Caenorhabditis elegans: one gene and its partner. The protein of the gene in region 2 purifies or fractionates together with the protein of the main gene of each other region. This does not show direct contact. Each region holds a gene or a part of one and is shown on either strand. Other genes may lie near its edges.

Region 1 (4,999 bases), on a different chromosome or scaffold from region 2:
TATATGGAAACTACATTAACACAGAATTGTTATCCATAAAACTTTGCTATCAGAATTGACATTTAGAAATGTTGATCGCTGCGATAGACACTCTTTAGCACATTGTAGCCGCTCATGTGCTCACTGCTAACTGAGCGACTGGGCCTTCCCGATAAGTGCATTAGCAAACTCAGCATGTCTATTAACCGAATGTTCTTTCGGAGCAAGTTCTCGAAGCTCACCGGGTTCCATGGTGTAGCGGTTAGCACTCAGGACTTTGAATCCTGCGACCCGAGTTCAAATCTCGGTGGAACCTATCTTTTTTGGATAAATTTTGATCTTTTCTTGTCCATTGTGTCATTTCTATAGTGAGCGGCACTATGGTTATCAATGAGTTGTAACAAAATCATACATTTTTAGGCTCCATGGAACATTTATATTAACAGTCGGTTTTTAAGTATAGCTCGCAAGATAAAATGTGTAACCCATAATATAATAAAACAGGTTCTTGCTCTGAAAATATTTGACTAATTTAAAAATGTAATACAAAGTAATGGCCGGGTCTCAGTTTTTATACTGTTTAGTTTGAAGTCCATAAAATTGTTTGTGTTGTCAAACTTTTGCCACCCACAGAAATAGCTTCCTTGTTATTTTCTTTGCTGAATTTGATTGTTATAAATCTTCCTTTGCACGTATTATTTCACGTCAACTGTTTCATGGGCCACCAAATCGTATGATTTACAGTCACAAAAAATTTCAAAAAATAATAAATTTATTTACAGACAAGCAAAATTAGGTTAGAAAATCACAAATTATTTACGGTTAACTTTCAAGTTTCCGTAAATCTTATGGCATGCCACGTAGCTTTGTTGGTTTTTGATAATTTGATTGAATGGAAGAGACCAGTAGACTTCAGCCGGAAGTTGAGTGTCCTGTAACATTTTTGAAATACTCTTTTAAAAAGAGAAAAATTCAGCTTGTGATTTACCTTGAAAAAACTGTACTTGGTTCTACGGTATACACCCTCGATTTTGATTTGAGTCGCCATTTGTTTGCTGACGTCAGAGTCAAACACGTAGACTGTAGCAAAGATCCCCATAGCACGAACAGAGTTTCCGTCCTGAAATTTCCAGCCAGTTTTTGCTTTTTTGACCTTTAGACTTACATCACCCTGAATCAGCTGCAAGAATGACTCCTTACTAAGCCCTTGTGAGCTGATGACATCATCAATGTCTGGAAGACAGAAAGCAAGCTTCAAGTTGTCATAGCTGCCTTTTTTCAATCCGTCAGCGCAGCTGATTGGTTGACCATCGAGGAGCAGCTGTGCTCGAACTCCTAATTTGTCACCGAATGTTTCACATGCATTGCAGTACAGGCTGAAAAAAAGATAAATCAATATTGTATGACAACATTAATTAATAGCAACAAACCAAGACCCAAATCCTCCACATCCGTTTTCAGGTTGTCGAACACATTTCTCTGGGACAGTATTTTTTTTGGCAGTGTTCTTCAGCTCAAGATAAATGGAGAAATCTCCGCCAAAGTCCTGAAATAGAGAGTTTCAATTTATTTTTTTATGTAGCTTTATTGTTCATTCAAAGTATATACTTAGAGAGTAATAAGAAGTTGTGATGAATTCTTTATTTCTCAGGGTAAGATAATTTTTAAACTTTTGATACGCTACACAAATACTGAAAAAAAACATTAAGTTTTGAATGATATTGATTTAAAATGTTGTCACGTTGTCACGTTGGCATAAAAAAATTCAATTTGCCCAATAATAATTCAGTAAGGTATAATTTAGTGATTTTTAAATTGTACAGACTACATTTAAAGATACAGATTGTGTTGATGTTCTTAAAAACACGGTCTTAAAGGCGGACTAACGGTTCGGACGATTTTGAACGTATAAATCCGAATTGGGCTGGAATGAATAAATTTTGAAAAAAAATACACTGATTTTCGCTAAAATCTCAATTTTCGGCCACTTTTCCGTGTCGCAGCGGTCCGAAGTTGTCTTTTTTGGAATTATCCTCCTGCATCTTTTGGTAATTTTTTATCATCACATTTCATTGATTTAAACCCGATAGGTAACCAAAAATCATCAAAATTGGTTACCTGTCGGCTTTAAATGTGCCTTAATCAATGAAATTGGATGAGATAAACTACCAAAATATGCAATAAAGGGCGATGATTCCAAAAAAGTCAACTACGTCCCCCGCTGCGACACGGAAAAGTTGCCAAAAATCGAGATTTTAGCTAAAATCAGTGTATTTTTTTTTCAAAATTTTGAACCGCCATAAAAAAATTTTGAAAAATTTATCAGAAGTTTCCTTACGAAACTCGTTTATTTGAGCTCATTTTGGGTTTGAACGTTCAAAATCATCCAAACCGTTAGTCCTCCTTCAAGACACGGAATATTAACAAAACAAAAAGCACAATATTTTACCTCTAGAACTTCTACTTGGCCTCCGATAGTAAAACAGTTTGGCTTATCGGCTTGTGGTTCAAGTTTCGGGCCTCTCCTATCATTTCCAGACTCGAATTCTAACTTCTTTGTCCATTTACCACCTGAAAACCAAATAAGCTTTGGTTTAAAATCTCGTAAACCTACTTTTGCATGGTTGATGTTTGATGAGTTCAAGAGTTACACTCAGATCTTTTCCCAACTCAACGTTTTCCAACGCGTTGGAAATGGAAACGAAAAGACACGATGAAGCTAAGAAAACGACCAACATCTGCGACTGAAACCGATGCGCAAATGAAGGTGTCATGGCTTATGAAGTAAGCGACGAGGACGTGCCCTTCTTTCACACCCCTTTTCAGCTGGATTTTAGAATAGTTTACAGTGACGGTGGGGGTGAAAGGGGAATATAGATATGAATTGTACAAATGTGTAATAAAAGTCTGACAGCCATCAAAACCACTTTTCTCGTTTTTTCTTTCTTTTTCGTGTTACTTTTACCTCAATGTGAAATGATTGTCGGATGGCGTTTCGAGGTCATGAAGGTTATGAGATTCTGAAAAGATGAAGAGATTAAAAGAAAAGGAAAGGGGAAAAAAGTAAAAAAAAAGGAAAATAATGAATCAAAAGCCTTATGTCCTTCAACTAGTAGTGAGAACAAATGCAATAAAGTTTTACAGATGTGTTACATAAATATCACTTTATGATCTCTAACCAACAACATATATAGTTCCAGTTTTCCTTACTATTAGTAACTTTGCAAGATTTTTCTGTAGAATTCGTGTACTGTTGTATACACAAGAATAAAAATTCTAGAAGTAAAGGGTATACAGAATACTTTGAACAAAATCCCAGAAACATTTTGAGGCTAGCAAAATATTGAGGTTGTATTGAATAAAATGCATATTGAAGAAATGTAAAAAAACATACTCAAAAGGATACCAGACAAAACTGTTGTTTTTTACACAACGAGTCTTTGAGCACAGTATCACCATAAAGATTGACTGTTATTTATTAAATGTCAAGATCAATTTGCTTATCTAATTCATAATTTTTATTGTGTTTATTTCATAATTCACAAAAAATGAACCCGCATAAACGAAATGAATAAACATGAAGTTATCATCGTTGTTCATCCAAATATATTTTCTTATTTCTTCTTGGCTTGAATGTCGCTCAAGCTAATGGTTCCGTAAAGTTTGTGACATCCAACGAAAACTGACTGCTTTTTGATAATTTGATTGAATGGCAGATTCCAATAAGTTTGAGAGTCAACTGGCTCATCAGCGCCAAGTTTGCGAAGTTCACGGATGCGAGATTCTAGTTTTCGTTGAGAGCTGAAATTATTTCATTTTTCTATTTGTTTAAAAATTTTCTACTCGTGAAAAATAGTGTTATTTTTCATATAGCTGTAATGTATGTGACATATATGTCTCGAATATAGTGAATGGTTGTTAGATGGTATATGAAACTGTAAATCTGGCTAAAACCTATTTAATTTTCAGAACTTACACTAGAAGAGGTTTAATATCCTTGTCGAACAAATAAACGGTCACAAATAGACTAAGCTTTGGTGGACCATTTCCTTCCTGAAACACACTTTTTCTTTCAATAATTATTTTCATTTTGTCAAACCTGAGTAGTAGCAGCTAAAATGTGATCTAACGCGTCTTCTGAAATTCCCTGCCATTCCAACAATGCAGCTAATTTCGGAAGGCAGAAACGGAGTTCAACATTATCATATTCTCCTTTCTAAAAATAGTGTTATTGACTGCATCGTAAATTTTTTTTAACGATGTTGCTCACTTTTAATGGCTCACATCCTGCTGGTTTGCCGTTCACAACAAGTTGAGCTCCGAGAATTTTCGTGAGAGAGTCCAAAGAATCACATGGCCGGCAGTAGAGACTGAAACAGCAGTGTTTACGTCATTTTTTGGAAACAACAAAACAACAAATTTTCAAGTTCGAAAATTTAAATTTCGTAATCATCGAAATACAACTAAATCTTGTTGTTTGAAGTTATAACATAACGACAAATTATGATAGCGTAGTACGTGGAGAGATGGCCGAGCGGTCTAAGGCGCTGGTTTAAGGCACCAGTCCCTTCGGGGGCGTGGGTTCGAATCCCACTCTCTTCAGTTCTTTTTTTTTAATTTATTTTGCAGGTTAAACACTTATGTATGAAATTGTTATAGTTATACTTTTTGTTTTAAGAGTGACCTCTAACTTAAAACTTTTAGGTACTTCACAGCTGTTCATCTATCATTAACTGCTCAAAAGGCTTTTTTTTCATTTCCTAATGTTTTTTCTAGCTCTAGAATCTTGATGATTTCCCTAATATTTCTGTCAATAACTCATTACCATGATCCAACACCTCCACAACCAGTGTCCGGATTGGCATCCCTGCACACTTCCGGTGGTCTTTGAGTGTCACCAGTGGTCGACACGGACAAGTAGATCAACAACTCGTCGCTCACATCCTCATGAATTTTCACTTTTCCCTAAAGAAAATGAATTATTATTATTATTGTAATAACGTCAATCATCAAGCATTGT
Region 2 (3,663 bases):
GCTTAAACATCAAAGTCACGCAAGTTGCTATATCATTTTGAAGAGAAATCTCACAGCTTTTCAAGATTTCATTATTCATTTTTGAAAAAGCTCTGCTCTCTAGCGGACAGTTCAATCTATTCGACTCACATTTTTACAGCTCTGTGCAGCTCGTTCTTCATCTGGATCACATACTCGATTCCCAGGGTCTACACCTTCGGCTTCTTCAAGAAATCCATATGACAAGGAGACAAGAAAGAGTATCAATGTTAGAACCCGAAGCATCTGAAATCTGAATATTTCTACGATTTGCTCAGTGAGCTCCACGTAGACTCGTATCAATTGGATATCAAAGCAAGAGAAAAATTGGAGAGATTGAATGAAAAAACCACCGAAGAGAAACACAAATATTTTCTTCTTCTTGATTCATTCTTCCACTCACTGATCTCATTTCTGTCTCATCTTTTTTCTATTTTCCTGCGTCTCTTCGCCTGCTCCAGTTTATCTGTTTTCTGTTCTAATGACCGCGTTAAAAATTTTATTGGTACCTGGAGAGAAACCCTTTGAAGAAATGAAGAATGTAGGAGGGAGGAATGGGTACTCAACCGGAATTTTAAAGACTTTTAAATTAATTATTGCAGTTTTGCAGGGTTACTGTAACAAGGAACAAGAAATCGAAGAACATTTAATGAAGTTAGTTCCATTTTGCTCCAATTGCCTTCTCGCATTCGTTCTCTTTGAACGAGTCTTGAGCAAACTGAAAAATAGAAATTTAGAAAAGTTGGTGGAAATGAAAATGAAAGTTTGAGGCTCTCTAAGCCTAAGCCTAAGCATCTAAGTTTAAGGCCTGCGCCGAAGCCTAAACCGATTTCTAAGACATCATCCGCTTACCTTCTGCCATCCCTGCAACTTATCATCCCCGCACTCTTTCTTAATATGAGCCTTGATACAATCTTTCGAGCCCTTCAAAAATGTGCAAGTGTCCTTTGTCGACTTCTTTGTCTCTGATTTAAAATCTTCCAAACACTTTGCAGCATCCTTATCACTTTTCTTCAATGCCTGCAATTTCTTGCTGCAATCCTTGAACTCGTCCTGGAAAAGAGCACGACCACAGAAGTCGAGAGTCTCCTTGTGATCTTCTTCGAGTGGTTTACATTTCAGCTCTTTAATGCATTCCTGAAACACATTTGAGAAGTTTTTAATATCACTGATGTTACCCACCATGGTGTCTTTGCACGAAGCCTTGACTTTTGAGAGATCCTTGTCTTTGCTCTTTACGAGAGCTTTGAGCTCCTTATCTACTTCATCGCTTCTCTAAAAGTGTTTTTTTTATTAAAATGACGGAAATAGTTCGAAATGCAGCAAGTACAACAAAAAAGGACTACTGTGATAAATCTCCATGTTTGAAATTCCACCAAAATAAGAACTGCATGAGCAATCATGACAATTGAAGCCTGCTTGAACAATTTTATAAAACCCACCTTAACACATTTAGTAGTCTTCAATGAAGTGATAACTCCACAGGATTTCAAATATCTGGCCACTTTTGATTCAGTATCCTTATCAGAACTGGCAGCCAACGCGGAACAAACTAAGAAAACTGATAAAATGATAATAGATTTCATGTTGTTTTCTCGTCGGTTTTTCTTTATCAGACACGTTGCTTTTATATACCAAGTTTAGAGGTCAATTGATATGAATTCAAATGAAAAAAAAACATATGAAAAAGGGTTGGGATCGGGATATTGTAGGTGTGTTTGTGATAAGGATGACGTTCCGAGACCAATTAATTCTACTTTCTGTTCGATTTGTAAACAACGAAATTCTCGTTATCTCGGATTCTGGAAATCTAACATTTACCCTGACCTCGAAAGGACAGGGTTCTCCAAAAATTGTTCACTGGGTCTTTTGCAAGGCCCTGAGAGCGTTTATAAATAGCGGCAATACCACTGACGAGAGGACAGTTATATGCCCGAGTGTCCGGACATCTCGAGGGTTCCGCTCGTCACTATGCTTTACGTGCAAACATGGCACTCGAGTCCCCTAGCCGCAATAAATAAATTTTTTTTTTTATTAACTTGAATATTTGATACAAACATAAACAAAATAAAATGGAACATGAGATCTTATTTTACAGATAATACTGGGGGGATATAAAAACTACTATTATTAAACCACGAATTATTGAGCGCGTTTTTTTGGAATGCGGAATGACCACCAGGCAGGTTTTTCGTGAGGAGTCGGAAAAATCTGAAATATTAACATTTTCATAAAGCTTTATTGATTTAATTTCCGTTGTATAAGGATATTAAAATTTGCAAAAAAAGTTGAAAAAATTCCACATACTTTCTGCTTCTTGCTTCCAGTGATTTCCTGTGACTGTTCAGTGTCCCTGTGTTTTGTTGGCGGTCTTCCACACATTCTACGTGCCGGATTATCTGGAACAAAAACAATTTATCTGAAAATCGGAAAACTAAACTCGATGAAGATTCGGCAGAAAAAAATTCGGAACTACAGTAATCTTTAAAGGCGCACACCCGTTAAACCTGTGCTTAAAACAAGTTTGTCGTGTCTAGACTAAATACCGTATTATTGTAGCCAAAATTGCAAAATTTCGCGAAATTAAATCGTGTCTTTCATTAATGTTGATGTGAGTTTACTTACCACACTGTGAAGTTGGACGATCACTGTTGACAATCACAGAATTTAAAAACTCTAAATCATCGTCGGTGCTTAAATCTTCGTATACTCCTGGTGCTGAAATTTGTAATATATTGGAAAATTGACTTCTCTTGGATTTCCGTACCAAATGCAACTGATTTTTTTGGTTTAGAAGCCACGCTGATTCCTGATCCACTTTTTTTGAGAATTCCAGAATTATTCGACGATTTCTCAATTTGGCAGTTCTTACTCGCATTTTTTTGAGTTTTCTTATTTCCCTTATTGCGTCTATCAGCTTCGTCATTGGAGTCGACAGATTTTTCTCTTTCTTTGGGCTTTGAGGAATACTTGGAGTTAGCTTTCCGGAGCTTTGCCTGGAAAATAATCAGTAAAATTCCATGTTTTTAAAAATTACTAACATAGAAAGGTTCCCTCTTTTTCAAATATTCTCGAAGATTCGAAAAAGCTTCATTCACTACTTCGTCTTGTTCTTTTTGTGGAAGACTCTTGAAACGTGCACCTACTGATCTCTCTGCATTGTCTCGAATTCCTGAAATTAACTATTTAGTTTTTTATTGGAAAACATTGATGTAAAAGCTTTCCTGCAGAAAAATACATAAAATATATTAAAACGAACTGTATCTCGGCAAAAAATATGGGCCATCGGCAATTTTTTTCGATGTATTTCTGTTCTGTGAACGACCGGCGATGCGACCAACTGTTTTTCGTTGTTCATCTGAAAAAAAATCCCAAAAAATGTTCATTTGTAATGTTTAACAATGAATTGGTGTTTATAGAGTTGTTTTCCTCAAAAATAAACATTTATTAAAGTTTTTTTAAATTGTTATTCCGCTTTTAGCATTGAAGCTACTGACGAATTCAAATTTAGCAAGATATAATAGATTAAAAAAATAAATTACCTGTTAATATTATAATATTGTCGTTATTAGAACGAATTCTGGACATTTTCAGCAAAAAAAACCAGATGATAAGTATGCTTTTTCGGGAGAAAAACAGTTTGCT

What was found.
Region 1: the proteins of D1086.3 (region 2) and gmap-3 fractionate together in Caenorhabditis elegans (co-fractionation; one large-scale study listed by BioGRID). This does not show direct contact.

What each region holds. Positions count from the first base shown.
Region 1 is NC_003284.9:12,937,959-12,942,957, forward strand, and holds gmap-3 (GM2 Activator Protein family member), read right to left. Parts: upstream 3,001-4,999; 5' UTR 2,754-3,000; coding exon 2,594-2,753; intron 2,551-2,593; coding exon 2,429-2,550; intron 1,526-2,428; coding exon 1,410-1,525; intron 1,356-1,409; coding exon 1,145-1,355; intron 1,100-1,144; coding exon 968-1,099; intron 912-967; coding exon 792-911; 3' UTR 737-791; downstream 1-736. Other genes in the region: gmap-2 (GM2 Activator Protein family member), read right to left, coding at 3,594-3,780, 3,956-4,032, 4,079-4,195, 4,250-4,349, 4,805-4,944.
Region 2 is NC_003283.11:14,090,824-14,094,486, reverse strand, and holds D1086.3 (T20D4.11-like domain-containing protein), read right to left. Parts: upstream 1,696-3,663; 5' UTR 1,605-1,695; coding exon 1,461-1,604; intron 1,294-1,460; coding exon 1,201-1,293; intron 1,156-1,200; coding exon 871-1,155; intron 737-870; coding exon 674-736; 3' UTR 501-673; downstream 1-500. Other genes in the region: D1086.8 (T20D4.11-like domain-containing protein), read right to left, coding at 130-264; him-5 (High Incidence of Males (increased X chromosome loss)), read right to left, coding at 2,161-2,229, 2,326-2,417, 2,644-2,736, 2,786-3,014, 3,060-3,190, 3,278-3,376, 3,561-3,606.